2 linked regions of the Daphnia pulex genome follow. Each later gene encodes a partner of the first gene's protein in a complex. Links are inferred from orthologs where the notes say so. Each region holds a gene or a part of one and is shown on either strand. Other genes may lie near its edges. The genes, in order: SUMO-activating enzyme subunit 1-like and small ubiquitin-related modifier-like.

Evidence for each region.
Region 2: the proteins of SUMO-activating enzyme subunit 1-like (region 1) and small ubiquitin-related modifier-like are in contact, whole or in part, in a crystal structure (PDB 3KYD), measured with the Homo sapiens proteins. The link is inferred for Daphnia pulex from reciprocal best matches to the Homo sapiens genes SAE1 and SUMO1. Residues at the interface, in NP_005491.1 of Homo sapiens: Thr179, Lys180, Val181, Ala182, Lys183; in NP_001005781.1 of Homo sapiens: Asp30, Ser31, Ser32, Glu33, Ile34, His35.

What each region holds. Positions count from the first base shown.
Region 1 is NC_060026.1:14,822,039-14,838,883, forward strand, and holds SUMO-activating enzyme subunit 1-like, read right to left. Parts: upstream 6,727-16,845; 5' UTR 6,573-6,726; coding exon 6,481-6,572; intron 6,407-6,480; coding exon 6,241-6,406; intron 6,177-6,240; coding exon 5,920-6,176; intron 5,853-5,919; coding exon 5,659-5,852; intron 5,583-5,658; coding exon 5,438-5,582; intron 5,332-5,437; coding exon 5,169-5,331; 3' UTR 5,048-5,168; downstream 1-5,047. Other genes in the region: uncharacterized protein LOC124204020, read left to right, coding at 3,574-4,067, 4,141-4,314, 4,563-4,728; histone-lysine N-methyltransferase 2D-like, read right to left, coding at 7,319-7,422, 7,487-7,606, 7,671-7,788, 7,855-8,153, 8,231-8,424, 8,499-8,736, 8,806-8,890, 9,013-9,116 and 9 more. UniProt on the Homo sapiens protein: The heterodimer acts as an E1 ligase for SUMO1, SUMO2, SUMO3, and probably SUMO4. It mediates ATP-dependent activation of SUMO proteins followed by formation of a thioester bond between a SUMO protein and a conserved active site cysteine residue on UBA2/SAE2.
Region 2 is NC_060017.1:271,229-287,501, reverse strand, and holds small ubiquitin-related modifier-like, read left to right. Parts: upstream 1-9,126; 5' UTR 9,127-9,279; coding exon 9,280-9,288; intron 9,289-9,497; coding exon 9,498-9,638; intron 9,639-9,699; coding exon 9,700-9,771; intron 9,772-9,846; coding exon 9,847-9,906; 3' UTR 9,907-10,054; downstream 10,055-16,273. Other genes in the region: proclotting enzyme-like, read left to right, coding at 1-36, 101-189; putative leucine-rich repeat-containing protein DDB_G0290503, read left to right, coding at 4,117-4,223, 5,100-5,331, 5,391-5,618, 5,685-5,909, 5,975-6,316, 6,392-6,715, 6,808-6,945, 7,002-7,280; serine protease inhibitor dipetalogastin-like, read left to right, coding at 10,206-10,230, 10,287-10,415, 10,485-10,637, 10,699-10,811; ADP-ribosylation factor 1, read left to right, coding at 12,030-12,177, 12,246-12,355, 12,413-12,538, 12,606-12,770; protein O-mannosyl-transferase Tmtc3-like, read right to left, coding at 14,848-15,099, 15,173-15,370, 15,435-15,620, 15,705-15,857, 15,941-16,013, 16,111-16,273. UniProt on the Homo sapiens protein: Ubiquitin-like protein that can be covalently attached to proteins as a monomer or a lysine-linked polymer.

The sequences.
Region 1 (16,845 bases):
CTAGACACTCTTTTTTTTTCAAATTTCATGATGTGTTTTTAAAAGCCAGACAGTAAATTTTCATATTATACACTCTGTAACCCGCCTGTGTATGTTAAAGTATTAGAAAGAGATAAGATGTGGGATGCGGAATGGAAAAAGCGATGATAAGATTGTTACCTCAAATAATCACGAGTTGGTTTTCTTTCCTTCCCGCCATACAGTATGCCAACTGATCTCCCCGCACAAAGTTCCCACTGACACCGCGCTGTAAGTCGTTATTCTATATAGTTCCCTAAGACACAGTGTTTTCTTCATTTTGTTCTCTTATTCAGAAGAAGGCGACTGTTATTCAATGGCCCAGAGCCGAAACGCAAGCGGTAATGAGCAAACTGGGCCGGCCAGCGATGGAAATGCTCCATTAACTCGAAAAGTGATTCCACATTTCGTATCGTGGGTGGCTTTTGTCGCTTGTCTATTCTACGTCTACTATTACGAAATAGTGTAGCAATGGCATTGTCTGCTGAACATCTAGTATCGTCGAAAATAAAAGAATTCAATAGCTAGAAATGAAAATGACTATTTCGGCCCTCATATTGTCGTCAGCAATAAAATAAAGACAGTAAAATGAACTGGAAAAAAGTTACACTCGAGAACTTTCATTACGACTCTATAAAGCGTCAATAAAAATAACAAATAAACCATCACGGACAACACATTAATTTGACCGTACAGACATGACGTCGGCGGGACCCAAATTCCCGTTTCCTTTTTTAAAAAAAATGCCAACCGATACGGTATTCGGCGTGAGACGATAGCCTATCTTGAACTTCCATGTTAACCAGCACTCTAAAAATTTTGTTATTTCTATTCGTTGGCTAATTAGTATTCAATCGGCGCGTGAAAAAAGAATCCCGACGTTGCATTACTTTTAGCCATCTAAACTTTTCCCGTTGGATTGAAATTTTGTCGTTATGTCAGCTACGGCTAAGGTTAGTAGCCATTTCCCACAACATTTGACGGTCTGCATGACAATCAAACAGTCTTGTACGAACTATCACCAAGTAGGATTGATAGGAGATGCCCTACAATCTAAACTGAAAGATGAATGGGCACTTTGATAGATAAGACGATATCTTTTCTTTCAAACTTACAAATTTCTTTTAAACTTGAGTGGAAGGTAATAGTCGTGATGGATCAGATAATGCCGTTATGATCGTAACTCAAACCGGAAAGGGTGCTGAACATCCAAAGCTGGCGGTTAGATCCGGATGGAGTCGTTCAATTTTCGATGCGAGACACGAAATGACCGGCAGTGATCCTATCAAGCTCCGGATGAAAATGACAAGCTCCTCCTCTCAAACCTAGCATCAAAACAGTAAAACAGAATAGTGGAGGAAGAAGATGTATAACACTTGGGCTCGACCTACATCATAAAAACTCGACGTCTGGCCAAACGTCGTTCACAGTTGATTTCTAGTTACGTCAAATTACAGTTCAACTCGCGCTTATTCCTTGGAGGCAGTGATTACAACAAACTTCCCCTTCAACTCTTTTCCTGTCAAAACGCAGAAGGTAGGCATCAGGTTTTAAACAGTAATTTTCTTTCTTCTTCTTCCAAAATAAATGTATATACTTGCGACCATCCTGATGTTGAGTTGCGGTCGGAAATCCGCATCAGCCGCAACAGTTCCGAGAAATGAAAATGTCTCGGGCATTTTTATTCAGCTTCAATAGGCAAAGAGTAACCATGGGTCCCACATTTCCGTTTCTATGTAAAAACCGCCACCCGCTGCTGTTTCTAACAATCGAAATTTTGCATTTTGCACAGCTTACCCACATGATACGGTATTATTTCTGCGACGCCAAAATTATTTAGAATGCACCTGGGTGGCCAAAAGCACTGGGGAATGAAACCAGCAGTCAGGGATGATGAAGTGCGTCCGCGCGTTGTTTTCCCCTTCTTGTTTTCACGATTCCAGGTGTCTAGAAAATTCTAAAAACAAAAAAGGAAAATTAATATGAGGCTTTCGTGAACACGAGAATGAGGTTTGGGTATTACCTGGAAAAAACATTTTTCTTTGGATGTATCACGAAGGGGGTCTTTCTTTCCATCAGCCAGTCAATTGCGCAAGACTAGTTACCCACGCGAAATGTGTAAAGTTAATTGAGGTGCTGTTACGACAGCTCAGTGTCCGGATGCATATGCACACACTTACGCGGTTGGCTGACCTCTACCACTTATAATATACCCTGCTGGCGTCTCTCTCACGCGAAAGAAATCATTTTTAATCGTTCGTCACACGCTCGTGGAGAAATATTCAATCATGTTGGGGTGACAGTAAAAGCAGTCGCGTGAATTTAAGTCTTTTTCTTTCTAAACAAAAAAGAACTGGAATAAGACATGTATAAGAACACGCGTTGAACAAAATAAAAAAAAAGACTCTTTTGGGCTCTTTTTAATATAGTACTGTAAGCTTATAGTTAAATGAACGGAATATACTCACGCCAGAATGGGTTTCTAGGCTGTCTACCTCGGATGACAGGTTCCCACGCAAAAGGTTGATTCCAAGAGAAGAGTTTTTTCTTTTCTTTTTATATCGAAACCCTCTGCGGGAGAGGAGGAGGGGGGAAGGGAAGAAGCCCAGGAGTAGTCAAATGACGACAACGAGGAAACATCCCGTAGTTGTTGCGCAGCGTTCGGACGGAACAGTCGAGAGAGCTCCGTCTTTAATTTCCAGTACCCAGTGTCTTGGTTTGCTCCAGGTGACTCACGCGGATTAAAACAACTCGATCGAGGAGTGCGAAGGTCATCTGCCCATCCGGAAATAAGTCCTACAAATTGACAGACACGGAAGAAGCCCGGAAAAAATTTAAAACAAAACGGGACTGTTAAACAGTGCGGAAGTTGACCTTTTAATGAGGCGACGTGACGTGTGTTGGTCCAGCGGCAGCGAGGCGTCCGTGTAGAATAACTGACGCGATGGCGGTGCGGAAGATGTTAACGAATGCCGGACAACAAGCCGACTAGTTTGACCCAGTGAGTTTATGTTGTCGTCCATTTGTCCAATGAGAGGGGGCCAAACGACGACGAGTCAAGGATGGAATGAACAATGCCGACTCTGACGATCCCGTTATACCTCCGTCGAGTCGACGACGACAGGAAACCACCACCCACGCGACTCGGAGCGTGACTCTTCCGTCGATTTCTTCTTCTTTGCTGCTGCTGACCGTCTTGTCTTGACGATAGCTCCAGCCCGGCAGGAGGCGGCGGCAATAATAATCCAGATACTTTTTTCTTTCGGCAACTGTTTGTTGCACGCCATCAACGTTTGTGTGTGTCTATCGTGTGTGTGTTGCGGTTTTCGGACGCTTTTGGTTACTCGTTTGCATTCGTCCGTGTCCCATTGTGGCTCATTTCCTGCACCCAATCGACTTTCTACCACTTTTTGTTTAGCGGTTATTAAGGTACATAAGATCCTCTGAAGCCGGTGCGGAATGAGATAACTGCCATCGGCAGGATATGGAAACATTTTATGATGTACCTGGTCGGTTGATTGATTTAGTTTTCTGTTGGTTTTATTACAGGTGAAAATGCGTCACTTTTACAAGCACGTCTTATCAGGAATCGTTTTCTGGTTGCTCCTCTCACAGAGTTTGAGTCTGTTCAACAGTTCCAGTGCAGCATCGACGTCCAGAACTTCTTCTTATACTTCGGAGGTTGCCGAAACGGAAGATGAAGCTGAACTGAGCAAAGAAATGGCAGTGACTCCCAAAGAGGTGGAAGAAGCAGATGATAAGGAAGATGAAGGATCGGAAGGCAGGGATTTCAGTGAACTGTTGAAGATTGTCAAACGGGAAATTAGTGACGGTGAAACCGGCCGTTCTTCGTCGGGCATCTTCAACACGACACTCGCCTTTACCATTCCGCTTTTCTCTTTCTCGCTGCCAGACAGAGCCACGGCCGGAAAGGACTACACCAAACAGGCCGCTTTGTCGCTCTTCGGTCTGGCCATTGTCGGTGGTATAGCCATCATGCCTTACGTCTGGGCCGCCCGCTCTCCTTTAGGGAAGAAGACTGTCGTCGAGTAAGTTCTATTTCCAAAATTTATACGAAGGAGAAGAATTCAATTTGAAATTCAATTTTAAAAATAAAAACAGATCCAGCAGAGCAAAAAAAGATGAAATCTCTTCATCCATTCTGCCCATGATAGCCAATGTAGCCTCGTTGGCCGGGCTGGACGCCAAAACGTGCGTGCAGCGTTCAGTCTGCGAAACTTACCGAAATCCGGAACGCTACGGCTACCTGGTGTTCCCCGTCCGCTACTTTATGCTGTAAGTTCATAGGGCTTTATGTCGTCACGGTTAACTGAAATTCTCCCAAACTTTAAATAACTAAATGGGAAATAAAGGGGGAAGGAAAAAAAAAAGTTACGTAATGTTCCGCAAGAAAGAGTTGAGTGAGTTTATGGAGTCTACGACAGTTAAATGCGTTCACCGTTGGAGCTCCACCGTTATTACCAACTTTCACTGTAGCGTGACTCAACTCCCATTTTTCTTTCTTCTTTTGTTCAAATGCACAGATCCCCTCAATCCCGGGAAGACGATAAACCATCCGAGTATCAACGAGCAGCCGAGTTTGGGCGACAAGAAAAGGAAGAATGTGAGCGGCGCTACCGGTGCGCTTTCAGTCTTATCGGAGCGGCCAATTTCCTCTTCAGCTACTTCTTACCACCCTCAACGGCCTGAAGAAACAACCGAGATTGCGACTGAACTTTGCCCTGCACGAGCCCAGTCGCCACTGCAGCGGCATCCTGTGAATTGACTATTTAATATTTATTCAACTATTAGACATTGTTATTTATATGCAAAAGTGCCGTGAATTGCCCCTGTTTTGAAATGACAAAGATTTGCCAAAACTCTTTTCTTTAACCCAATCCCATACTTTGCACACCATCTTTAATTTATGCTTAACCGCGACCGATTAATTATTTTTTCCCTCTCCCCCCAAAAATTGTGTAATAATTGGCGGAACGAACTAAGGACGTCCCGCATAGGATTGATGCCGTGAGTGATAAACCACTTGTGTACTGAGTTTACTGGGAATCCAGATGTCGAACACAAAGAAAAATGAATTAGATTGATTGATTTAAGAAAAAAAAAAAAGGGAAGATTGTTACAAAATCCGTTCAAAATCCAATGGCTTCGACAACACCGTTGAAATCTGTGGCACCGTTAAAGAAAAAGTGATTGCGGATGGGTGCGTCTTTGTGGGACACGGCTTTGATAATTTCTTGAGCCAAAACTCCACCCACAACCGCAGCCCCTGGACTAAGTTCGCCAAATACCACCCTAAAAATAAATTCACATTAATATTAAATAATATAACACACTGACATTTGATTGAATTTATATTAATGCTTAGTGGGCTATCAAAAAATTCTATTGCGATCCTTACTCGTATGCACAGCTGTCAATTATTTGGTTGTCCAGTTTCATTTCGTGTTGAATGTGATCCCGGATTTCACACAATTTCGCAATGTCAGACTGACGGTTTGCAACTTCTGGATCGCGTTTCATTTGAGAGCGGAACATCAGCAAACCTGTGGTGAATATCGGGCAACATTAATTAATGCACCTAAGCTATTCAATTGGAATTGATTTTTCTTGAATTTGTACTTTTCATCATGATGAAATGGCTCTTGATACGCTGCCAACTTCTTTTGTTGAGCTGAGCTGCTGCATCAGCTTCAAATGCTGCTTGTAAAGGAATATAGTTGAGAATATGCTTGACGGTTTTTGTTTCACTTTGGTCAGCTTTTGTCTTCAAAGAGCAAGCATCATTGGCAGCTGGAGCAGCAACATTTACTTCTCTGTATACACGAAGAAAATGTAAATATAGATTTCACTGTTGCAGTTTCTACTTGACTCAACACTTACTCAGCATATTCATGTTCAAGCAGATCGACAAAGAAGAAACCAGTGAATCCAAACACATCCCCTGAATAGAATGGAATGCTGTGCTTGCGACAGATACTGTTGACCCTAAAAGACTCTTCAACTGCCAATCTAGTTGCACAAACAACATCAAAACCACTAAAGAAATCTTCATTCTTAGTGGTAACATTGTCTTGGTCAGCTATGACTTCCACCATTGGGTTTAAACGCTGCACTCTTTCCAGTGAAGCTTCAACCACCTTGCAAACAAAACATGCAGATATTAACAATAAGGACAAAATTGCTTTAGAAGGAAATACTTACATTCTTTCCAACAAGTTCTCGGGGAACAAGGAAATTGGCAGAATTAGCAACAGCAACATTGTGATCCAGCAAGGTTAGGGATTTGATTCCCGACAGAGTCAAGTTCTTGGCGATTTCAGCACCTAAACCACCTAGCCCAATGAGCAAAACTCGAGCTGCACGAAGTCTGCAATATAATGCAATTTATAACTTGCGTTAAATGCACTCAAGATTTTTTAGTAACATTATCTTTTTGCAGACCTTTTCTGTGCTTCCAGTCCCCAAAGTCTGATTTGCCGGTCGTAAAGTGCTGCTTCAGCTTCACTGATGGTTATTTCTTCTTTGGCCACCATTTTAATACTTGCTTCAATTTTGATTGTTTAAATGTTTTAAACAAAATTAAAGTGACGAATTGAGTATCTAAACTACAAAAAGGTTTGGAAAAATCCCAGATCTCTCTGCAGTGGATATGTCCGTCTGAATTTTCGTAAAATTCATGGAGTGTAGACGCTGCGTTGCCATTTCCAGAATTAGAATATTTTTGGATATTCAAATTTTTCCCGAATTTTGAACGAACGAATAAAGAACGGTTTCCATCTAGTTTATTACCACCAATGCTTTACGCACAATGGGCTCCAACAATATATAAACGGGCGTTTTTGAAACGAGAAGAACAGAGAGGCTGGCTGCTGCTAACACCTAGAAATCAGGCCGAGCTTATGTTTGAATATGTACAAGTGCATTTGACAATGAGATGGGGAATGTGTGGATTTAGGGACACAGAACATCACAGACAGAATAATCGTCCACAATTAACACAAAAAGAGTAGAATGTCGAAGAGGTAATAACAATCAAATGATGTTGAGCATATATAAATGGATTGACGAAATTGATTGCATGTGTTGAGAGAATGGATGTTGACGCCAAACAGAGATATGGTTCGTTGACTGAAATGATATGATACACATCGCGTAATAGTACATCAGACACTTAACGACGACACGACAATGAAACAACGTCTCCAACAACAACAATAACAACAACAATTAAGTGAAACGTGTCGATGATGATCGGATTTTTTTCAAACACTAATTGAATTCAGAGAATGGTGCAGGCCGCTCCGTGACATCCGGAGGAAGAAGAATCCATCATTAGTCCGGAAGACATGCTAGCCCTTGCCATGCTACTTCTTTGCTGGGAACCTTGTTAAAACAAATACAAATTTAGGAATAAATCAACTTGAATAAATTCTTAGCAATTTGTTACCTGCAGGTTTGCCGTTTGTGTACTCGTTGCCGTGGTCTGGAGCCATTGGTAGACTGGCCAATCCGCCGGAATTATCTTGCAATGTATACCAATGCGGCTGTTCGTCAATGGTTCCTGGATCTTTTAACGTAATAAAAATCAAATTAAAGTGTTTTCATGCTGATATTAATTCAAATTTAGCTACCAGCAAGATCGAGAAGGAATTCACCGAGGAATTCAAGTCGGCCGTCGGATTGGTGATGCCACACCGTCACTTCCAGTTGACGTTTGATGAGATCGGCGGGCGGAACAGCCGGATAAACCTAATTTAAACATTAAACCTCAATTAAACAAAATTGAAATGTTAAACAGTTTGAATTGAAGCGAACCATAGTTTGGTGCCATTCCGGATCGCTAGTCAGGCTCAAATAGCGAGTCCGGCGTTCGTTTTCGACTTTCCGGCCGGGAAGCAGAACACATCGGACAAGCGGATCGGGTCGGGCGTCACCATTGGGTCGTCGGGTCTGCAGTTTTCTGGCCCGGATGATTGTCACGTAAAGGATGTGAGCCCGGCTGTCGTAGCAGGAAAGTAATTGGACTTGACCCAGAGGCAGTGTCCACTTGCGCTTCCGCACTTCAGGGTCCTCCAAGCATTCTTCCGGTTTCGGGACTTTATTCCGAATGATCCCTGCGCACCCGTTATCGATCCGGCGATTATTTCATCAGGTATGGACAAATCTATTGAGAGATTTATATATTTATTACCTTTAACGACCGGCTGTTGAGGTCCAGTTGGCGGCTGAGGGACGACTTCCGTCGGCGAAGCCGTGCTCAGTTCACTCGTCATATGATTCCGGTTGTTGCTATTTCCGTTCATGTCGATTTCCTCGCGTGGGCCGGCAATGGTCCTCGTACATTGCTGGACGTTGGACTCGGCGTACTGCGAGCTGGCCTTCTCCCTGGTGGAAATCAAAAATAGGATCGTGAACGGTTAGAAGATAAAAACGGGATTGCGTGAGTTGTTTATTTATACCCGCAAATGACAATCTCCACTTCGCCTCGGGTGGATGAGATTATACTCTGAACTTCTTCGAACGATTTGCTGTTGAGCTGAATGCCATTCCACTCGAGGACCTGGTCACCTTCTTGGACTTCGCCGTGAGTGTCGACCACACCTCCAGGTGAAATCTCAGTCACGAAAGCTCCGATTTCGCCGTGCCGACTGCCGGGAATCTCCAATCCGCCCACCACTCGCATTCCCAATCCGTTGTCTTAATGAAAATAAAATAAAATAAAATAATTTGGACAATAATTTAAACGAATAAGAATGAATGAATTACCGGTAGTGGCGCTGGATTTGGCATCGCATGTCAACAGGATTCTTTTGGTGGGAAATGGATAGCGTCTTTTACCTGGTCCTTTGTGCTAATAACAAAATTGGCGTTCGTGCGACACCCCCCGAAAAATCTTTTATAGTCGCAATCGATTTCCCTTTTTTGTTTTTTGAAATTTAGAAAATTCAATTCAATTATAGTATAGAAACAAACCTCATATGGGCGGTTGGATGAGCGACGGTATTGATTGCGGTTGTCTTCTTCCGGCTCCGAATAGCAAGGATCTCCACCGTCATAATCAGGTGAATACTCATATCCTGATGGAACGAAACATGTCAAACATTTTGGTTTTCCCATTCAAATTTAAAAAAAACCGCGAAAATTTTTCATAAAACCTGATTAAAGAAATTAAATAATAAGAATTAAAAAGATAAAAACTTTTTCGACTCTACTCCACCGGTCCGGAATGAACCCAACTTTTTATCATTTTACTTTACACAAAGATAATAATAAAGTAATTGTTAAAAAATATAGTAAATGTTTTAAAAATAAATAAAATAATAATTAATTTGGTGGATGACGTTTCTACTCGCCGGAGCAATCGAAAACTGTTTGTTTCGACGATAAACCCGCTCGTGGTAGTACATAATTTCAATGTTTTTGTTTCTGAGTGCGTGTGTGCCTGTTCTCCAAGTGATTTAAATCGACTGCCGATGGAGAAAAAAAAATAATCGATTCGCCACAATCAACGACAAAACAACAACAACAACAACTTTTGGAAATAGAAATAAAAATAAAATAATGAAGACACTCAGTTTTTTGGCTCCAATAAATGCGATAATTTAAATCGAGTTAATATGTATAAACATTAATGAAATACATTTAGTGATTGTTATGTAATGTAATAATAATAGAAGAATAATAGATCGAATGTCTAATAAGATAGAGAGAGAGAGAGAAAAAGGATTTGTTGTTAGTTTTCTTTTTGCGCGACGAAGGCCCGAAAAAACGTGTAATTAGCCAGCCAACATTGATGAGAATTACATGCAATGAATTGAGAGAGAGAGAGTAGAGAGTAGAGAGTTAGAGAGAGTTAGAGAGAGAGAGAGAAAAAATGAAGTGTTGGGGGTGGTGGTGGTGGGGGGTTGTGGTGGCAAGGGAGGGGAGACAAGGAAATAATTTTTGTTATTTAAAAAAAAATCCAACAGCAGCAGCCCCAAAAAACTTTTGACATTTTACACACACGATTTTTGGTTTGTCTCTCTATTTTTTTTTAAATTTAAATTTAATTATTTTTATTAGGGATGGGGAATTAAAAGGATAGAATTTGATGCCTTTGATTTTTTCCCCAAGGGAAGAGTTCAAAAGAGAATGAGGCAATAACACATATATAACGATATATTGCGTATATGCATGGTCTGCTGGAAATATGTAAATTGTCCCTCACGGGTTTGATATCTCTCTCTCTCTTTTGTTTTTTCACGCAGCTAATAATTGCACGAATTTTTTTTTACGAAAAAAAGGCCCACAAAATTGTTTTTGGGGAATTATTAACGAGCAAAAATCAGAGAGAGAGAGAGAGTGAAAAATGGGGAAAAAAAAAATTCAAAATAAAACAATTTTGGAGGGAAAGATATGGAAAAATGATTCCCTCTGGAACACACACACACACAAACACCTCGCGAGATCCCTTATTTCCCCCAAAGTGTCAATTGGAAACAAATCCGAGCGTTCAGACCACCAGCAGCAACATTATGATAACGCGCCTTCTTCAAAAATTCAATAAAAAATGCAATAAAAATCAACTAAATCAAAACGATAAATTGAATTTTAAAAAATGATAAAATAGGGGAATAAAGAGAAGAAAATAATCATGCGAGTAAAAGAAATCCTCCATCGTGTTTTATTGATCGGTTGACAGGTTATCTCTCTGCCAAACAAAAATGACGTTCAAGTGCGCTGCTATCGACATTATAAGTGACGTTTAATAATTTCCAGAGAGAAAATTGGAAATTAAAAATTTTGTGATTCCCTTTTTTCTTTCAAAGTAAAACACTGACGCAATTCAATCCGTAGATCGAATCCAAATTTAATTTTTAAAAAATCTTTCTAATCAGTCGCAGAGAGAGAGAGAGATATTAAATATTGCATCATAGGGGGGGGGACTTCGACGATTTTGTTTTGGGAGGGGGGAATAATATTAAGAAGAGTTAAATATCGGGTCGGTTCATAAGGCACCAGGAATTGAAAAAAAAACTAAATTTTGTTTGTTTCGATCGACTCTCTAAAAGGAAATTTTAAAAAAGAGCTGCTGCTTTTTCTTCATTAAATAGGAAAAGAGGTCGAGGGGGGGGGGAATAGTGGGAGAGGCGGGATTTTTAAAAAGGGAGGGTCACGATATCAATGAGACAAGTGCACATGGCTACTATGTATATATGGCCCATCATTTCCATCAATCCAATTGAAATTAATTCTTGCACGAATAAAAACCAAAAAAAGGTAAAATTACGAAATGATGCCATCCAAAGGAAAAATTAAAATCAATAGAAATGAATTAGAAATTCGGGGATGTCCCACTATAAATAATGAAACAGTTGAGGGAATATAATAATAATACGTCATTCAAAAAAACGACATTATATGAAATGTGTGTGTGCAGCAGAATGTCCCAGAGAGAGAGAGAGATAAAACCAACATTTCTCTCGTTTTTAAAAATTTTACAAATAAAAATAAAAATAAATTTCATCAATGGAATAATCGGGGAATTATTTATGTTGATGGGAATGAATAAATGGCGGGATCGGAGGGGGGGGGCTTGACCTACTAAGAAATATAATACGGTGCTTTGACGACGAAAACGAATAATTTTTACCAAGACCACACACAACATACACCGAAGGAAAGAAAAAAGAAATACTACTGATAGGAATAAATACACAATCTACTCAAAAAATGTTGTTTTTGGTTCTTTTTCCATTTTTCATATAAAATCGATAATCTTTTCTTTTTTTAAATTCTTGTGCCTGCTGGATTTTAAATGGGGAAGAAGAAGATCAAACTGAAAATCAATCAAGAAGTAATGAAGAAAAGGAAAGAAAATGAAAAAAAGAAAATGGTGTGATCAAAAGATGGTTGGGTGGTGTGGAACACATCAAAAGCGTCAAACACAAATGAGAAAAAGATGATGATAATAGATAGTCAAATGTTTTTTTTTGGAAATATCTTAGTGACGCGTTAAAAAGGAAAACAATGAAAAGGCTGATGTCACTAAATTAATTTTTTAAAAAAGAAAAAAGAGAGAGAAAAAACTACCGGGACACAAAAACCAGACACACGTTTTAAATTGCTCGGTCGAGACGCGTCATCATCCAAAGAAAAGAAAAAAGGATAGAAGAAAATTAAATTTTTTTCTGTTTTTTTCTCTTTTTTTTTAAATATAAAAATGCAAATTAGGAAAAAAAAAATAAATAATTCAAAAGTGGGAAATTCATTCCTAATAAAAAAACTGACTGTCTATGGCCAAGAGTCCATTTGTTTTTTGTTTCTCTTTGATTCCACATCAAAATTAAATATTTTTTCTAAATTTGCTGGGATTCCCCGGCTCTTAAAATGAATTAAATTTAAGTTTTTTGTGCTGTTTTGTTCAAATATCGAGCTCGTTTTGAAGATTTAAAAAATAAAAATCCCGCCCAAAAAACTTGTGATGACCGAAAATATAAAAATAATTCAAAAATAAATTCAAAATGTTGCGCTGGTGGCACGCCGGAGAATTCGGTTCCATGACGGAATTATTTGGGGAAATAAAACCCTCCCCCAAAAAATTCCTGTTTTAATTTTTTGTTCTTTTTAGGGACGGGAATGTGAGGATGATGATGGCCATTTGATCAAAATTTTGTTCTTTTTTTGTTTTGTTTTTTAAATTTTGAAATAAATTTTTACGCGCCGAAATTCAAAACGACAGAAAAATTCAGCGCGGCGACAAATAGCGCGAGGTACTGTGCGGATGTGCCCCGGACGCTCCTCCTCCTCCGTACTTGCCTCGTGACTGGATGTGCATCGTCGGCGCATCGTTGGCGCTGGCGTAGGCCAAATCCTCCAGCAGCTTGCGCGACCGGCTGGGCATGTCCGGCAAGAGCGGCATGGCCGTCGGACCGGCCCCCGTGTTGTACATCATCATGTGTTCGCCACCGCCTCCGCCGCCCAGCTCAGGATCGCTGGCCAGAGGCGAGAAATCGTGCAGACGCTCGTAGAGACTGCTGGTGTAGTCTTCCGTCCGGAATGTGGAGGCCAGCCGCTCCATGCTGCGCTCCTCTTCCGTCGGCACGCCGGAATAGTTGCCAGAACTGCGGGCCGGACTGGCACCTCTCGAATGCGACCCGTACTGGTGGTGCTGGGCCGACGACATGTGGTGGTACGGACGTCGGGTAGGAGACACGTGATGGTGATGACCTCCGCCCATGTAATCCGGCTGGTACAAGTGACCGCCGCTGGAACTGCTCCGGGATCGATGGATGAAATCCCGATCTTCCCGCAAAATGTCGTTGATGGATCGCAAAACGGACGAGTTGTTGGCGGCGGCCGCTAGCCGGGCAGCGTTTCCGCCGCCACCGCCGTAGGATCCGCCGGAACTATTCCCGCCCACCAGTCCGTGATTGGTCTGATAACCGCTCACCTAAATGAAATCGAGCGAAAAATCGTCTGAATGTGAATCAATACATTAACGGGATCGATCCCGGATCAAAACGGGCCCACAACTTACGTCACCGGATTCGCGCAGACGGGACAGGCGGAGTAATTCGTCGTGAAGTCGTGAATTCTGTTCGATTTGTTGCCTCCGGCGTGCGATTTCCGCCTTGATCCTCTGTTTTTTGGCCTCGCGGGTCAGGATGTCGTCCTCGGCGTCCAGGAACTCTTCGTCGCTGCCGTAAGGCGACGGGTGCCAGGATCGAGGCTTCCTCGACAAGAGGATCGATTTGGAATGGCCGCCGGAATTGTGATGGCCGTGATGGCCGCCGTGGTGTCCACCGCCCAGCATCATTCCACTGCGATCGGCAATGTCGTAACTAAGTCCACGGGTCAACATCCGAGGATCGTTGGCGTAACGGGATCGACTCGACTGGCCAGACTGGTGATGGGAGGATCCACCGCCCGTCAACCCGACCAAAGAAGGATCCATCAGATAGTCAGTCATGGTCATTCCTCCATCGCTGGATCTCCTGGCGTGAGTCCTGAAAAAGATCATATGATTAGTATAAGGATCGGGTTAATTTCGCTTTTAGGGGGAAGGGAGGATTTACCTCCGGCTACCAACGGCCGAGTATTTCCGTGAAAGGAAATCATCGTCCTCGGTGAGGAGTCGGTTGAGAGCACTGCCGGAATAAGAAGTCGGTATGGATCGATGGCGATCCCAATCGGCTTTATTGGCCATCCCCACACCGCCGCCCATGTTCAGCTCTTCCATCGATTCGTATTCGTAAGCCTTGGCCCGGCTCATCGATTGAGATCTGGCCGTCGAGTATCTCTGTCAACGTTCCAAAAATAAATAAAATAAAATGAAATAAATTCCCCGATCCTTTCCTTACGTCAGAAGATTCTTCGCGTTCCCGCATGAGCGAAGAGACTCTGGGATCGGACAACTGCCGTCGATGCCCTCGGCTTTTGCGGAGTCGGGAGGAGACGCCGGAAGTTGCCGATGATTGAGCTGCTCCAATGAGTCCGGCGGCGGCGCTGCCCGGTCGCCTCTGAGTATCGAATCTAATCCGCCGGACCAAATGATTTTTAGAAATGAAAATTAACTGAAATTTGCAATTGGATTTTTACCTTTTCATCGGGTCTCTGAGTGCGGCAAATTTTTCCAGCTCGCGGCGGATCCTCAGCTCCCGTTCGCGGTCCTTGTCCGTTTGGTTCCTAAGTCGAGCCCGATCCTCCGTTAGTCTCTGCAGCTCCTCCTCCAAGGCTCGGCGACGTGTCAACGGTGATCCGCGCAAGTCTTCTAGCGCAGCCGTCCGAATTCCGCCCTGCCAAATACCCAAAAGAAATAAAATTTGAATAAACTTCCGGTTTTGGTAAAAGTTTGCCCGTTTCGGGTACGTCTAAACTTACGACGCTGAGGATGGTCGACGAATCGTTGGTCGTCGAGGATGTGGTCATCACCAAGTTGGTGCTGGGAGCTCCGACCAAGTGCCGCAAATCCGGCGGAAGGATGGCCGCCAAACTTTCGCGGAGTGTCTGGTCCTCGGATTTGACACTGATGGAAGGATTGGAGCGGGCGATGCCGACGCCGCCGCCGGCAAGATTGCTCGACGTCAAATTGCTGTTGATGGACGATCGTAATCCGTTGGCGTTGACGATGCTGGACCCCTGCAAAAGTCCGTGGGCCGATCCGGGTCGGGCGGCCAGCGAGCTGGCCATGGATTCGCCGTAAGCCAATTGTCGCAAATTAGTCTCGGACGTCGGGCGAGTTAATCCGCTGAAGGAGGCGGCCGACGCCCCGCTGCTGTAGCCCCGGTCGACTCCTCCGCTGGATGTGTTGGCTTCCGTCAGCGAGCCCTGCCGCAAATTGCTGTAGGCCTTGATCCGCTCCTGGACGCTGACTAACTGCTGCTGCTGTTGTTGTTGCTGTTGTTGGCTCTTGGCCAATTCCAGTTTCTTCTTCTGGACCGACGGGAGGAGGGCGGCCTCCTGATCGGGCGGAAGGAGCGGCAGCTTCCGTCTCAGCCGGAGTGAGGCTTGTGAGTCCGTCTCGCTGAGCGTGTCGGGCGAGTCGCAGGCCAGGAGATCGCGACTGTCACGACTGTGGGTGCCTCCTCGCGGCGTTCCGGCCGGAGTGCCCATCGGCGTCGTGATCGGCGTCCCACCGCCACCACCTCCGCCGATCATGAACGAGTGAGCCGCAGGGCCTGGACGCATCATTCCGCCCAGCAGATCGATCTCCGGCGACGCTGTCGGACTGTAAGGTCGCCCATCGATCAACCGGATCCTGCTCCTGCGTAAGGAAATAAAAAAACGGAAACAAAAAAGAAAAGGAATTTTTCATTAGAATAAATTTGCACATGGACAATATGAACAAAAAAGCAACTGACTTGTGCAGTAAATCGGCGGATCTCAGCATGGAACTGCTGCCGCTGCCGTAGAGATCGGAGTGGCTCGTCTTGTTCGGATCCGGAACTGGGTGGGGGGGAAATGACAAGGATCGTTTTTAATTCAATGGCCCAACCATCAACCAATCGATAAGACGAGTTACAAACAACTTTTTACGAACCTATCGACGACTGGTGCAGCAGGGAGGCCGATGGAGCATTTTGTTGTTGTTGTTGCGCCAACATATTCTTCCGGATGGCTTGCGGAGTCATCTTGTTTGCAGCCTAACAATTCCGCAGGAATTTAAAAATGTAAAAACTTTTTCTTTGGAAAATGTTGGTGGGTTTTACCATGAGCTGTTGTTGTTGTTGTTGCAGTTCCAGGGCGGAATTCTGAACCGTGCCGATCTTGCGGAGTTTTTTCGAGTGCTGGGCCTGGTGCTGCATCTGCATGAAATCCTGGTTGCTGCTGCTGTGGTTCATCATGAGCAATTGCTGCTGTTGCTGCTGGATAATGGACTGCTGTTGTTGCAGCTGGGCTGCGGCTTGCTGCATCATTTGCTGCTGGTGGATCGATTGTTGTTGCTGCTGTTGTTGTTGTTGTTGGGCTTGTCCGGCCGCCAGAGCCGCCGACTGCAGTTGCTGCTGCTGCTGCTGTTGTTGCTGTTGTTGGTTAAACAGGGTCATTCGATTGGCGGGATCGTTCATAAGGTGATTTTGCGGATGATTGCCCATCAACTGCTGCGCTTGCTGTTGTTGAATGAGCGTCGATTGCTGCTGGCCCAGCGGCCTGTGAAGTTGTTGATCGATGCCCACCGAACCGGCAACCACCGTCCCAGGAAGTTGGTAGGCCGACGACGTAGGCTGACCGCCGTATAAGTTGGGTTGTTGTTGTTGCTGTTGTTCCGGCAGCCCAGTCAAGGGGTTGATGGGTTGCTGGGAAGCAATGACGGCCGCCACTCCGCTC
Region 2 (16,273 bases), on another chromosome or scaffold:
CTGGGCGATGGGCGGTAGTGGGTGTGGTCTCTTGGGGTAAGGAACATCTTCATTTACTTGTTAATTGAATGAGTTTTACATCCTTTCCTTCTTTCGATAGGCGTACGCTGCGCAGAGAAAGACAAACCTGGCGTGTACACTCGAGTGTCTTCCTATACAGACTGGATAAAGGCCAAAGTTTTGGCTTAAGGAACAATTTATACTGTCACAATACGAAACTCTCGCTTGCTGCTTAAACTGGACTACGTATTTAGCGCCAGCCATCGAAGTTGTATTTCAATTATTTTTATTTTTATTTTTCTTCAAACTTGTCGAGTCGCCAGCTGCGCCTTCCACATTCTTCTTGATGTGCTGATATGAAAGTCCTTTTCTCCTATATACATATGTATATTCAATCAAATCCGTCCTAGACATCCGTAAAATTATTATATGCATTGTAAGAAACCAGTTTATATAATAAAGGGTTGCATTATTCGTGGACTTATTCGTGGATTCGCACGTTTCCTTGTTGCTACACGTAGGGATTAATGGATTATGCTCGATAAAAGCAAAAGAGAATTGTGGATTTAAATTCCCCACAATAAACAACAGGTTACACCAACAACTGTGGCGACCGGCGACAATCTCATGGATTTGAACGCTACTAGGATCATTGAATTCGTTTTGATGAAAAAAACAATTTTCCTTGAACGATTTTGAAAAAAAAAGGGGGCACGGTGGTTGGCGCGAAGGTTTGAAATTTGAATTTCTTTGTTGAACTGTATTATAGTTAGTAGTTTATTAAGCATATTAAACACATTTTGGGGTTGATTTATTGATCACTATTTGTTGTATGAAGGACACAAATCTTTAGAATATTCGATGGCTGATAATCTCGAATAGCATTTTTTGTGCTGTTAAATAACGTACTGTACTAGCCTACCATCGAGGCCAAAATTTGATGAACTAACTGCTCATGTCTACTGAAAACGAAGTAAAAATTTCTGTGTCACACCAGCCACCAGGCAAAAAATTCTACGGCGCTATGATATGATCCTTAAAAATAAATAAATAAATAAAATAAAAATAAAATAAAAATAAAAGTTCTATCTTTCCTTCCGTTTTAAAAATTAAAAATTTCGTTTGTGAAAGTTTACATTGAAGATTGTATTGAAAATGTATCATATGTACACACTCCCACGCCACTTCTAAGCTTTTGCGTCATCATGAGTCCAGAATGATGTACTAATATTTTTAAAAAGGGCATCAGATTGGGGAAAAATACACTGAGATTGATAGTAATAATAAATACGTCTTTTTTTATCGAGTGAACGCAAGCTATCTTATATTTGCACCTGCACTGCGTATACATTGGTCATGCGGCTGATTATCGTGGGTACCGTTTTATTTTTTTATTTTTTACTATTTAATCGGTCGACAGCAGTGAGTTCGAGGACACAAATAACTGTGTTTAATACACTTATTTTGCATTTGCACCGATTTACACCAAAAACCTAATCAAAATCTAGGACTGTTAAAAAAACACTGGAATAACTGCAAACAAGGATGTTTCTTAGATGTCTGTTAATCACCTTGGTCACAGCGGCATTTCTGAAACGTATGCAAGCAACGGAAATGGATTCACAAGGTATTCTATACCATATCTACTTTTACTTTATTTGTTTATCTTGTGGAATTTGATTGCATCAGGTATATTTCGAAGCTATTTCCCGATTTATCTACTCAATACTTATAGTCTTCTTATCCCTTATCCACAATTTATTAAAGAATTCCAAAGGTGTTGTTACGTCAAAAAACACTTTGATTAACTAACTAATAAGTAATAATAAGAACTTTTAGTCATCTTAATATACCCATGTTAGTAAACAATAATTCAAAATGTAAATGTATATAGCAACTGATACCAATAACAGAACAAATTACTTGTCGGAATGCTTGAATGACGATACTTGAATGACGATTAGATTTTAACTGTATCAAGGGAAATACTTTGAAGAAATTCAAAATCGGTTTCATCTCTCATGATTGTCATTTTTTTTTTTAATCTAGACGTTAGGTTTAATTTTAACAGCACAAAATATATTGTACGGGCGTACGTTAAGCTTAAAAAAAAATTTTAACGAACCGTTTTTCCTAGAAACCGATGGGCGTGTTTCTGTTTGTCCAGCAGATGGAGTGTATCCAAATTACTACAATTGTTCAACTTTTATTACCTGTTCGAACGGTATTCAATATCTGATGGCTTGCCCGGAAGGACTCATATGGAACGTAGACACGAGCGAGTGTGACTGGCCGAACAATACAGAATGTGTTACCTATCCAGCGATGTCAATTTAGGCAAGTTGCAAGTAACAAAAATAAAAATAGACGCAGTAAAGTAACCATTGATTTCTTTTTCATTATGTGTAGACGAATTGACTACTCGTCGAGCGCTTATTTCGGGAAATCTTTTGTTTCCGGGGGCTAAATACATTTTCTAGTTAAGGAAAGAAATAAGGGCTCTAAATATTACTCTTGTAGTTCTTTTATTTTTAATTATTGTTGGGATTTAATCTTTACATATTTTAATCGCCGTTTTGCGTTTTAGTGCAATATCACTCAATCTATTACCTTTTATACAGTATTATAATCTTTAATCCAATAAACGGTATTAGATGTGATTGATTGATTTGTCGTTTTTAATTTCCCGCCATGATTCTCTTTTTCAACTGGATATTTTATCCGCCATCTAACGTTGAATTTTGTAGAAAAGATAGCGATGAAATTTGAATGAAAATTTGGACGTTGGCACAGCGAACAGTCAACTATAACGTGAAATAACGCATTACATACTGGTATTGATGATTACGTTTCCGGGTAATCTACGTTACATACTGTACATATTTGCACAAATTTTATTTTTCCCATGTTTTTTGCTCTAAAAATCTATAACTATACCTAGGAGTTCATCGTGGATATGTACGTACTTCAAGCTGCTTTGAAATCACAACTTTAAATTATTCATTTTACAAGATGTAATATAATGTTAAAGTATTCTCCCATCTCCATGAACCAATCATTAAAGTAGCGCTTGATGCGCTACTTACGTATGCGTCACTCTTTTTTAATACGTCATTCTCGTTTTAATTATTTGGCCAGACAGCAGGTGCAGGTCTTATCATCAATGATCAATCGAATATCTCCCGTTCAGAGATTCAGAGGCGTACGGCACTTCCTGTTTTTTCGTATTGCGTTCAATGACAGACGGAAAAATTTATTTTTAAATAAAATAATCTAATAGCTACCAACATAAATATTTTTTCTTTTGAATAGCATGAACTGCAAAAATTCACACAATAGAAAGTTAAGAATGTGTGAATTTATTTGATCCAATTAAGGTCAGTCAGCTAAAATTCGTTACTTCTTGTTTAGAATAAACATTTTTTTCAGGTTCGGTTAAAGGAGATACTGAGACATTTTCCCCAGACATCTGCTTTCGCTGTACGCTTACGCTTGCGAATGCTGTACCGATTTGCAGCAGTTTGTCTTTAACTATAGCAATAGGGTGTTCCTAAAAAATTTTTCAAATTCGAACACGTCGGAGAAGCGTTTCGTCAATGTACGTAATTAACGTGAAATGTCAGTAACATTCATATTACGATGTATTACGAATGCTTACGGTACGGTCTATTTAGACATGGCATCAGACCACTTAGGTCCACCATGACTGCTTAGGTGTCACTGTTTCAAATATTTTTTTTATGAACGACATACAGAGGGTATTTATTAATTTTATCTGATAACTCTCTCACGACAATATATACAGTATTACATATAATAACTACTCGCAGCACTGATCACAATAAGCAAAATCAGTGATTATACGGAATGAAAATGGCTTATTTTTTAAAAGTTAACTGCTTTTGTCAGTTTGTGTTGATAATTCGATAACAGCTGATAAATGTCATGCTGCGGCAAGCCCACATAAAAGTGACTCGAAATTGCTCACTTTTAGCTTTGGCTTGACGCAGAGACAGTTCTCTCTCATTCTTGGAACCCACAGTTTGTTTCCGAGATCGTCCCATCTTCTTCAGAAGCTTTACGTCCGCCTCCTCAGTCGGACCATCTGAAGAAAGAATGAGAACGTTCTGGTATTTGATTTCGGCGACGGCCGTCATTTTGCTTCATCCGGTAGCCACCCAGACGCCTCAACAGCCAGGAGCGACCGCAGCATCTCTCATCACGTGAGTAAAAATTTTATCATATTAGTTGGGCATGGCAAGTCTTCCTCATTGTGTACATTTGCAGTTTTCTCCATTATTACAAGATGATGGCTAGCATAAAGGGATATGTGATGTATAGAAAGCTTTAAGATTAAATTTTCCTTCTAACCAGCGGTCGGGGAAGGTTTGGGTGGGGAAAAAATCAGCAAAGTCTCTTTCGAGTACTCCTTTTTGCGCTCAAAGACGTACACACTGCCGTATCCAATTACCTCTATGCTATCCGCCTCATGGGGGTCTATCTAGTTGCTCAAAACAACCTTGCCCTCTTTCTTTTTGCGCTCCCATCGTTGCTCTGGAATTAATAGTTGTTGAAAAGTCTGCTGAACACATGTGCTGCTAACAACAAAAACAAGAATATGCCATTTACTTGTGAAGCGCTTGAACGGAAATTCTAGCTCGCCATGGGCCGTATATGCGGCCGGCGGTAAGGGGGTTGTCTGAGTCTCCAGATTTGACCATAGATAATAAAGATTCATAAATGTTTGATTTCTTTTATTCAAACACGTGGATTGAGTAGCTCAATGAACAAAACCGAAGAAACAACGCCCATTTCCTGTTGTGGGAACTTGCCGGCGATATGACAGAGTGACAGAGGTCGCCGTTTCCCTTTCGATTTGAAATAAGTCGATGATGTCGCTCGTGTCATCCTTGTTTCCAAGTGAATTGAAGTCTTCCCGCTTCCTCGAATTCCTCAATGCCTTGACCTCAATCGACAACATTTTAAAAGATTCTAATCGTAGGCATGGTGATGTCATTTGCCATGCGAATTAGGCTATAACTCGTCTCTTTTCCCAATCTGCGGTAAATAACACATCTAATCGAGTTTCGAAATGGTAGGCATTCGGACATCAGGGACGCTATTTTGACGCTGGTCGGAGCAGTTAGAGAGCAGACGGGCAAGCTCGAACGCCACGAACTTCGTGAGAGGCAGCTGGGAGATGCCCTGACGCGTTCCCTTAGAGATCTTGATTCACGAACACGTGGTCAAGATAAGAATCTGGAGAACCTGGCTATCCTCATGGCCCGAACCGATGAGCGGCTCCGTAAGATGGAAGAAATGGTCATACAGGTAACTTCAAGTCGATCTATAATTAAAGGTCAAATATCAACCACAATATTTTATATCAGAGGGACGAGAGAGAGAGAATTCAACTCCAGAAAATCACTGACAATACAGTGGCTATCCGCAATGGAATTGAATCCGGAAGAAGTGCCGGTGCTCCTAGTGGTCCTGCTCCGGCAGCCGCTTCAACTGGAGATCTCGGCGAAGTACTGAAACAGCTGACTCGCACTCGTAAAAAGGTGGAGAGCGTGGAAGAATCATTGCAAAACCGTCTGTCAGTTGTGGCTAACGAAGTAAGTATTAAGAAAATTAATCCAGTCAAGATCGCGAGTGAGAGCTACATGCTGTTAACTTCCTAGGTGAAAATCGTTGGAGAAAAGTACGAAACGCGCAGTGAGAGACTAGAGAGCTTACAGTTGACTACCATGGAGAACCTGGGCAAAGCTCAAGCTGGCGATGCCGAGAAATTGCGAGCTGCATCTGTCAATCTGGTGGCTACGGAAGGCAAATGGCGACAGTTTTTCAGCGATGCTCAGAATCTGGTCAACCAGTTTGGAGTTGGTGTCAACCGCATTTCTGATCACGTATACGAGTTTCAGAGTTCATTCTTGAGAACAGATGTCAATGAAAATTTCATGATTGCATCCAGGCGAGTCGAATGAAGAATGACACTTCAGCCATCTTAGTCGGTATTGAAAAGCTGGAGACATCTTTGGAGAATTCCGGATCGTCTTCCGGATCGCAGAGCAATCCTGAGGCCCTTGTTTCCGCTATTCAAGTCCATCTGAAACCAACGCTCGATGCTGTTCATTCACTGGTCAACGACTCGTACCAGTCACAGATGAAACTAGACGAAAACTTCAAAGAAGGTTGGCAATCTTTGTCACGCGGAATTGACAAAGGTGTGATGAATGTCACCGATGTGTTTCAAACTCGACTTGGAGCATTTGAACACAAAATGAGTGAGAGTCAGAAGCTTATCCAAGACCAGGTAATGCCAATAATCTCTTTCACAATCAAATAATAATTGAATATCATTACCACATGATAATTTTTCATGAATTAGGTGGAGGAATCTGGAAATATGGCCGAGACATTGGCCGACAGGGTGGACAAAAGCTATGCAAGTCTTGCCAAAGAAATTCACGGGTTGCAAAAAGTAGAACAAGTACTTCTCGACACGGCTGATGGAGTTCTTGATACGAAACGACGTCTCGAATTTGCCGTCCAGCAAATTTTGCTTGAATTGGGCGACTCAATCCGCAGACAAACGGGCGATCTGAACTCGACATTAGCCCGCAAGGTCGACGACGTCACCTTCTCGGTCATCAAAGATCAAAGTACCGCACTTACTAACATGACAAGTAAACTAGAAAATGAACTCGGACAGGTACACGGACTATAAAAATGATTTTACTTTTATTATTAGTTTTTTTTTTCCCTATTTACTAATTTATAGAATTCATTTCTAAAATCATCTAGGTCTGGCGTCAGATTGGCGTGCTATACCAGAGCGCCAGTCAATCACAAGAATTGTTGCAACGAGTGGAACAGCAGACAGCCCAACACGTCGGCGGTAGTCTTCAAGCTCTCAGCAGCATGGACAAAAGAGTTGGCCAGGTACGAATATCTTCGAACGACATTATTATGAAATTGATTAATGAACTTTGTTATAGGTAACGGAACGGGTCAACGAAGTTGACGACCATTTGAACTTTTTGCTGGGCCGCTTGTCGTTAGTAGTGCAGGAATTCAATCAAGTGAGGGGTGGATTGGGTGAGGCTCTCGAATCACTTCGTTCAGGACTTGCAGTCACAGGCCAACAGCCAAGTACGACGGCCGGTAAATCCTCTTCACCTCCTTATGACGTTTCCAGTGGTCCAGTACCCAATCAAGAGGACGTCACCGTTATCACGCGGAAAGAGAATATTAATAACGACAGCGACGAGAATTGAAATTGAATTGCTCATTCGTGACTGAGCTGTAGACAATAGCATTGAGCTTCTTTGCAAAATTGAGAACAGTAGACATTCGTAGACTTAACTCTAGTTTAATTTTTATGTAGTCACAACTTTCATTTCGGACGAAACACATAAAATATAAGTACAGTGCTCATTGAGTAGAATCAACCCCACTCTATTAGCCAAAGTAGATTCTCATCGTACGCAACCAAATAAATTACCGCCAAGTTTTTAAAATCCTATCAATCAAACAATACAAAAAATACGGTCTGTATTCGTTCCTGCGGCGAACGAAGATTAATTGAATTCCACGCCACATGTCTCACATAATAAGTTGCTCCTGCTGCGTGTGTCAACTGGATAATGCACCTTCTGCCTCCGTTCTATTTTTTTCTCATTCAAATGTGAATTGTACACTCGTTGCCAAAACAAATAATACATTAGATACACATTTGTATATGAATCACACGGCTAATACTTGAATCAATATGACACATGTTTCGTATCTTTTTTGACAATTTGACAATCGTGTGGCTTAGTGAGTTGTACTTTTTTCCTCTCTAGTTCTATATTGCATTATAGCATGGATGAAGTCAATACAGGAAACGAACAAGTTTTGACAAAGATTGATTGGCTTCCTCGTCTGACTGTTGTTCAACTACCGAAGGATCAGTGCAATGCTTAAAAAATATTTCTGTAAAGAAGAGGCATCATCTTGTATAATAAAATTTATCTTGTTGTAATAAAACCCCCAAACCGTCTCAAAGGTAAGGTTTTATTTCATACTAAAGCGCAATAATCTAGAACAAAATAATTTGTACAACAACGCATTAATAGCTATATGGAATTAATTAATAAAAATGGCAATAAATTCGACTCCTAAAATGAAAATGACGCTGTTGGAAATTTTTCGTTGGGTTAGCAACAAGTTTGACTACTAAAAAAAATTGCTCGAATTCCAGTGGAAGGTTTACAGAATCAAACCAAAATTTAACATTCATTCAAAAATATCTAATAAAATAGTCTTCTATAATTTCGGTTTGCTGTACTCCATAAGACACAACTTGTCAGTAAGCAAGAAATTTTCTTAAAATTCCCCTGGAATAGGATGCTATTGGTCGATTAATACTGGTGTGTCGCTCATTCAAAAGAACGAAGTCAGCAAACAGAAAAAAATCCGACGATGCGAAACTGTAACTGTAACAACACAAATTATTTACTACCTACAGATGTCGCAACAATGTTCCTTTTTTTATTACGACAGCATTATCAATTCGTACAGGGAAAACCAGCAGTCGTCCCGCCATTTAATAATTCAAGTCATCAACTCACCAAATTCGATTCTAGTTTGCTAACTGATTATTGGAGTAACTCGTTTCTATGCTGCGGTTGGCATTTACAATCTCAGCAAAAATTTTTATGGAGTGAGTGCTATGGACGTAGTGACGGCTGTAAACCTATTAATTCATGAAACATTAATATGATGTATGATTATCAAATTAAATTAAGGGACATCAACTGCACGCACACGTTGCTAATAATCATCCATAACGATTGCTAACTGTGTAATAATTGCTTAAGCAGCCAAAATGTAGTCGAAGAAGATCTCAATTTATATTTTTATTGAATCAAGCCATTGGATATCATCAGTCTTAATTTTAAATATTATCAATCCCAAATTACATATTGTGCAATTGTTTCAAGCAAAATATTCTTCAAAGCAGCAAAAAATTTAAAAAAAATCCTACAAATTTTATTAATATATTCCAATTTATTTAAAAAAAGTTTTTTAATTTAAAAAAATGTACTCATTTCATACGTGGCCGGCCGTTGTTAAAATAAGTTTTTAGTGCAGTGCCGGCATCCAGACGTATATAGCTGGTGCGGCAACGTTTATTCTCGGCGCTTTTTTGGCCCACGCCATTATTCATTATTCTTCAATAGAGTCGTCTCAAACGTGCTGCTAGTTTTAGAAAAAGAACTTGTTTTAACCATGGCTGATGTAAGCACGTAACTATCTATGTTACTTTTTAAGTATTGCTAAATTTACCCCATTCGTTTCTTTTTCCATAAAATTTGTTTTCACGTGTTGTCTTTGCTGGATAGTCGATTTTTTTTTAGTTCTGATCATGTGTTCGATATTTTAACTGTTTGCCTTTGCATTACCCTATACCAATTTGGCTAACTGTGGTTTCTATTTTTAATATACAGGATCAGAAACCTGATGCCGGTGATGCAGGATCAGAGTACATCAAATTGAAAGTTGTTGGCCAGGATTCAAATGAAATTCACTTTCGAGTAAAGATGACGACACAGATGGGCAAACTCAAGAAGTCTTATAGTGAAAGAGTGGTAAGGGTTTTTCCTGTCATTTTTTTTTTCACTTATTGATAAAGATTTTCTTTGTGTTCAGGGTGTGCCAGTTACTTCGCTGAGGTTTTTGTTTGATGGAAGGCGAATTAATGATGATGAAACCCCTAAACAGGTATGTTGTGTCTAATGCACTTAGCTGATGTGTTAAATGATATGCAAGTAATGAATTTCTGTACTGCTGTTCTAGTTGGAAATGGAGAATGATGATGTCATTGAGGTTTATCAGGAACAAACTGGTGGCAATTAATTTAAGAACCTCGATGCATTCATGGAAAACTTTCCACATTTTCTGGACAAAACTGTCTTTTAATTTCCAATGTTGTCATCAAAATATCGCCCTGCTTTCTGTTCTTCATTTCCAATCGAATAAATAAAACCATTTTCGTAACCGAGAATGATCCTTTCGTTAACTTATGGGCACTCTGCCACTTGTTTCTATCAACTTGTATTGCTATGAATATTGACATCAAAGTTCAAGGATGAAAGGTCTTGACTTCCATTTCTTGCTTTTGATCGCAAAGTGCGTACAAACCTTTTCGAGAGAGGATGCATTGCACAACGCTGTTGCTTGGTAAAAATAAATTGTCAATCAAGAATTTATAATATACTTTATTTTGTGTTGTTCAGTTGTACTAGTAGTAGGTGCAACAAGTTGTAAAATTCCCAAAAGTTATAAACCACTTTGTGGGGTTAACGGGATTTCCTACACGAATCTGAAGGCTTTACAGTGCCATAATAAGGCTAGCCCTGGAAACAGTAGGCTATTTGAAATATTCTTTTTTAGGAAATGGTTCCATCCGTGTTGAATTTGTTTGGTTTTCTCAGTGATTCGAATAGCTTATAAAGGACGCTGTCTTCGACCTGATATTCGTGAATGTAACTATTCTTCAGTCGTGAAAAATGTCTGCGGCAACGACGGGCTTACCTATCTGAATCCCGCAATGGTTGCATGCAAGAACAAATTACAGCCTAAAAAACGTATATTTTTATATCATACATAATTAAACGATGCACAGTTGATATTTTTATGACATTTTAGAGGTGAAGATTATTAGCAAGGGCAAATGTAAAAGTAAAACAAACGCTCGAAGAAGAAAAGTGCCAAATAAAACAGTGAGACCCGGAAACGTCACGGGACCAAAGCAGAAATAGGATTACTCCCCCAAAACCTCACTTCGTTCGTTATAACTTGTATCATGCCAAATTAGACTCTAAACTCTCAAAGTCAATATATGTCAATAAACATGACCAACTTCTGTTTAAAATAAACGGCTGGGTTCTGACAAGAGATCCGTGTTACTAATGTGTCAACTATGCCACAATGCCGGCTCGTCATTCAATTTTCTCGTGCCATGTACTATATTTTTTAAAAAATTCGCCGGGTTTCATTTCTCAAAATAGTTCAGATTAATGCAAGCATTCTTAACAGTCGGCGGCCGTTTTTCAAGGAAGACGGATCTACTAAGATGACGTGTTAAGTTCGTGCACAATACGAAAAGTGCCTTTAATCCTTTTTTTAAAAGACAAAACATATGGTTAATAAGCGCATCGGCTTCCAACATACTCGATAGAGTGGGAATCAAACAAGTCACGTGACTTGGACTGTGCTATAAAATTCGATCCAAGCATTATTTTAAAAAAATGTCTCCCTTACTCACGCCTCTAGTGTATACAACTTCCAACTATTAATAATAGTACTAGATGTCTTGATTTTGTATAAAAAAGGTAAATCCTATTATGAGCTATCCAATCCTCTTGATTGAAAATAAATTTTACAAATAATTGTAATGACAAATATGAACATGCAGTTAACAATTAACGTTCTAATTCTTTGATAGTGTTTTTGTTTTTAGTCACTAGGAGCGCATGAGACAAGCTTAAAGGTGAGTGGGCGAGTCTCTACGATTTCCAGAAGAGGGTCGGGCACAGCTTTTTCTACTTCATACTTTTTGACGTGGCAACGTAACGTTGAATAGCTAGTTGAAAGAGGTCTTCGTCCGCCATTATTAACCCTCTGCTCGTAGTCTAATTCGGGCTCGTTCATTCTTTGGAATCCGTTGCGTTCGATTCAGAGTCCGTAAGTTACCTTCACCACATTTACTAAAGAGTCGAATATGTCAACTTCTAAGTGTATTAATAATTAGTTCATTTTGCGAAGCACTTGTAATTGTATGTCGTGTCGAGTCGGTTCTGCCACTCCACAAACTTCACCGAGTCGGCGTTGAGCAAGGGTTTGACAGTTGCTCAATGTCTAGCTTCAGTTTAGTCATTAGTTAGCAAAGATATATCTTTGTAACATTTTCCAGTGATTCTAATTGCCATTCTTCCTTTTTTAGGTTATATTCTTAAGTTATTCCATCCAACTTTGCAATGGGAAACGTTTTCGCCACCCTGTTCAAAGGCCTATTTGGCAAAAAGGAAATGAGAATATTGATGGTTGGACTTGACGCAGCTGGTAAAACTACAATTCTCTACAAACTCAAGTTAGGTGAAATCGTCACAACAATTCCCACAATTGGTAATTTATTCAATTTTCAGCAAATTTGACTTGCAGTTTTTATCATGTAATTTGTTTTTATTCCCAAGGTTTCAATGTAGAAACAGTTGAATATAAAAACATATCTTTCACTGTTTGGGATGTTGGTGGCCAGGACAAAATTCGACCATTGTGGAGACATTACTTCCAAAACACACAAGTATGTTTATTAAGCTAAAAATTTGAGTGACTTTTCTAATTGTCCATTACAATCTAGGGTCTCATCTTTGTAGTTGATTCTAACGATCGTGAGCGTATTGGTGAAGCCCGAGAAGAGTTGATGAGGATGCTGGCCGAAGATGAACTCCGTGAAGCCGTGTTGCTTATTTTTGCAAACAAACAAGTATACTTGTCTTTCATTTTCAAAAATGTTTTGACAACAATGACATCATTATTATCCTTGTATTCAGGATTTGCCGAACGCTATGAACGCCGCCGAAATCACAGATAAACTTGGACTTCATTCTCTGCGCAACCGTAACTGGTATATCCAAGCAACCTGTGCCACCAGTGGAGATGGACTTTACGAAGGGCTTGACTGGCTTTCAAACCAATTGAAAAATGCGTCGCGCTAAAGAAAAGAAGATAAAAAGAAACAAGATTTTCAAATTCATATTTTTCAGCTCTAGTAATCCTTGCCTCTCGGCCTCCTTCGCCACCTTTCATCTTTTTTTTTTTGCCCCCCTTCCATCGAGAGTAAGAAAAAGGAAGGCAAACACTTCTGATCCTACTTGAGGGTCCTCTCGCTGCTCTTACAAGGGACATTCCTGGTTTATTCATTTCAGATAAATTCTTTTTTCTCTTCAAAAATGGAAGTAAGCTTTTTTTTTTCTAATGTTCGTAATCGGTTTATTAGCACTTGAGGCAAGGACGTCTGTATATTGAGAACCAAAAAGGCGATTTAAAAAAAGCAGCGGTACTGAACAAGTGTTGCCACCTTTTGTTTCTGTTTTTCCGTGTGCTACAGTTAGGCCCTCATCATCCTCCATCTTTTTCATCCCTTCTATTTTAAATCTAAATTTGTCTTGTGCAAAAAAAGGTAAAATCTTGAGTACGCCAGCAAACATAATCGATACCAACGATGAACAGTCCCCCTTTATTTTCTATTTCCATTTTGTTGTTTCCTCTTTATTAGTTATCTTTTTCGGTTAATCTTGGAAAAGATCTTGGAAAAGAAACAAATGGGACGAGAACATCGCGAGTTTCTCTCAGTGTGCTGGGTGATTCCAGCTGGATATGTGCTGTTTGTTGCATACAAGGCAATACACATCTGCCCAGCCGTTTACGTTCTGTTTAATGTAAATTGTCATTTTTTTAATCCTCTGATTAGATGTCAGATCGTAAATTGATCATTATGGTGGTGTTTATTCATTAAATAGGAAATTTAAAGTTTAAAAAACAGTTCTGTGTCGTGGAGAGAAATTTAATTTTACTCGTTTAAAAATGAAAGTACAGTAAATTTTAATTCCGACTTGCTTTTCGAAACGAATATTAAAGTAATTTTTCCATATAGTCTCTAGTGGCACTCCTATGTGTTCATAAGTTTTTTGTAATTCCATGACGGGGTTAAAAACCGGTTAAAATTGTAATATGCATACCTTTCCCAAGCCTTGTTCGTCAGACTTAAAACACCTGTGTTTTATCGCGAGGATATTCTTTTAAAAAACCTAAAATTATTACGAAAAGAAAAATACGTATAGATTTTCATAGATTCAAAACGTTTATCTCGAATCAAATACACGTAAATATACAAATAGGTATATGCGAATTTTTGAGTATAGATAGTGTGAAAGTAGACAAACTAGAATTCGAGAACGAAAACTAAACAAGATGAACGGACAAATATGGAATGGCACTTTGCACTTGCGATCAAAATGCCGATTGTGATTTCGAGGATGAAAGGATATTATTTCATAAATGAAGCTCATATCACAGTTTTGGCCTTTTTTTGTAATCGAGTGAAATGCGCACGGTTGTGCGGTTCAGCTGCGACGTACGTAAATAAGCCTCCTCTCATCCATAGTATATGCCGCCCACCAATTTGCGTGATAGTACACGCGAGAAAAAACGGACAACCGGACCGGACAAGGTCAAAAGATAGCAAAGCTCCAACACTTTCACCAGCATACAAAAATAATGGCGTGAATCAAATATTTCTCTCTGTTCTCTCATGTCTTACCGTATTTCACACATATGTTGTCAACATTTATAAATATCAAGGCACCTTCACACTGAACCTGAATTCATCAGCTGCAAATTCCAAATACTTTTCTGGTACTCTCTTAAAACATCTGGACTTGATTAATAGATAGTAGTTTGAAGGAAAAGGTGAGATACAAGTAAAGCGATATGAAAAGTTGTTCAGTCCCTTTCCAAAGACTCTGAATCTGGTTTTGCAAATGGAGTTCTTGGAATGTCAGTCAGCAACCTAGGCAATCAGCAATCATACATACGTACACACCAACACACAGACGACTCAAAAGCTCACGCCAAATGTCACTCGCGTTTGAAGATCACTTAATCGAATAAACAAGTCAAAGATAGGGGCCATGGAGATATTAACAAGGATCAGTATGGGCAGGAGAAGCCTCGTCAATCATCTGGAGTGGGGTAAAGGATGGCTGGGGTAAAAATTATGGCATTGATCAATGATCAAAGATGCTGGTCTTTCTTATCGATTTTCTTTTGCTGCTGTTTTTTCTGCTGAGCGGCAATCAATTTGGCAATGCGCGTCTGAACGATGTTCAGGTGGCGGACGATGTAGTCCTCGTGAGGAGCCAATCGGTGGGCTTGCTGCAGACACTTTTCGGCAGCACTTAAGTCTCCTCGCTCAACGTAGACAACGCATAAATTGTGCTGTCCTTGCACATTCATCGGATCCAGCTCCAGGATTCGGATGTAACACTGAAAGTGCACGCACAAAAAAAAAACTATTAGACAACAGATCGAGCGCTTGAATATATTTAAGTAATATTACTCCTTCGGCAGCTTCGAGGTCCTTCATGCTGTTGATGTAGATGTCTCCCAACAGAATAAGACCTTTGATGTGATCCTGATGATGATGAACGAGCTGCTTGAGAAAAGGTACAGCTTCCAACGGTCGTCCCGTGTCGCTGAGTAAAAGGGCCAAATTGAAGAGAGCCGACCGAAAGTTTGGTTTGAGTAACACTGATCCCTAGAATTCAAAGTTAATTATACATTTTAACTCTCCGTATTATTATTAGCTTGAGGGAGTATACTTTAAAATAATGTTCGGCTGATGGCATGTCTCCGTTGTCCATAGCCAACATTCCAAGGTTGAATAAAGCTCTTTCATTAATGGGATCGAGCTGTAGCAAATGTTTTAAACGTTTAGTGGCTTCTCGTCGGCGCCACTGAGTAACCTCGGCATTGACTTCACTCTGCGAAGAATCCGATTCAGCGTTCTGGATAACATGTAATCAAATTGCAAAAACAGACGAAAAGTTGAAGGATAGTTAAGCTTGTCTAGAGTTTTAATGATATTTTACATCTTGATGGCCTTTATCGTTTGCGGCCATTTCTTGAAGGACGATAGCCGAGTTCAGTAGAGACGCTTGATGATCGGGTTCCAGTTCCAACGCTCGCTCCAAATACGCCAAAGCTTGACTAGGCTTCCCTTGCTCTAACAGAACCACTCCCAGCTGTCAAATAAAAGAGAAAGTTAGCCAGACATACTGAAAAGAGTCGACACATTCGCGTAAATTTGACGAAAGCGGAAACTTACGTTGTAATAAATATCTGGATTGTTTCTGTCGTAGAATAGGGCTTTCTCGTACACTTCCTGAGCTTCTTTCGTTCTGAGGGATTTACCGCGGAAAACAAAATTGTCGATGAGAAACATAAACCGTCAACGACTATGAACTCGCCATGTTACTATATAACTATATACTGTACCGGTTCATCTTGATGAGGATGTCTCCGCGGTTGATGTAGGCCTGAGTGTAATCTGCTCGCATCGAAATCGCCTGGCGATATAAAGCGTCCGCCTCTCCGAGTCGGGTCTCATTGCGAGCAATCAGATTGGCCAGATTTAGAAACACGTTCAAATGGTTGGGAG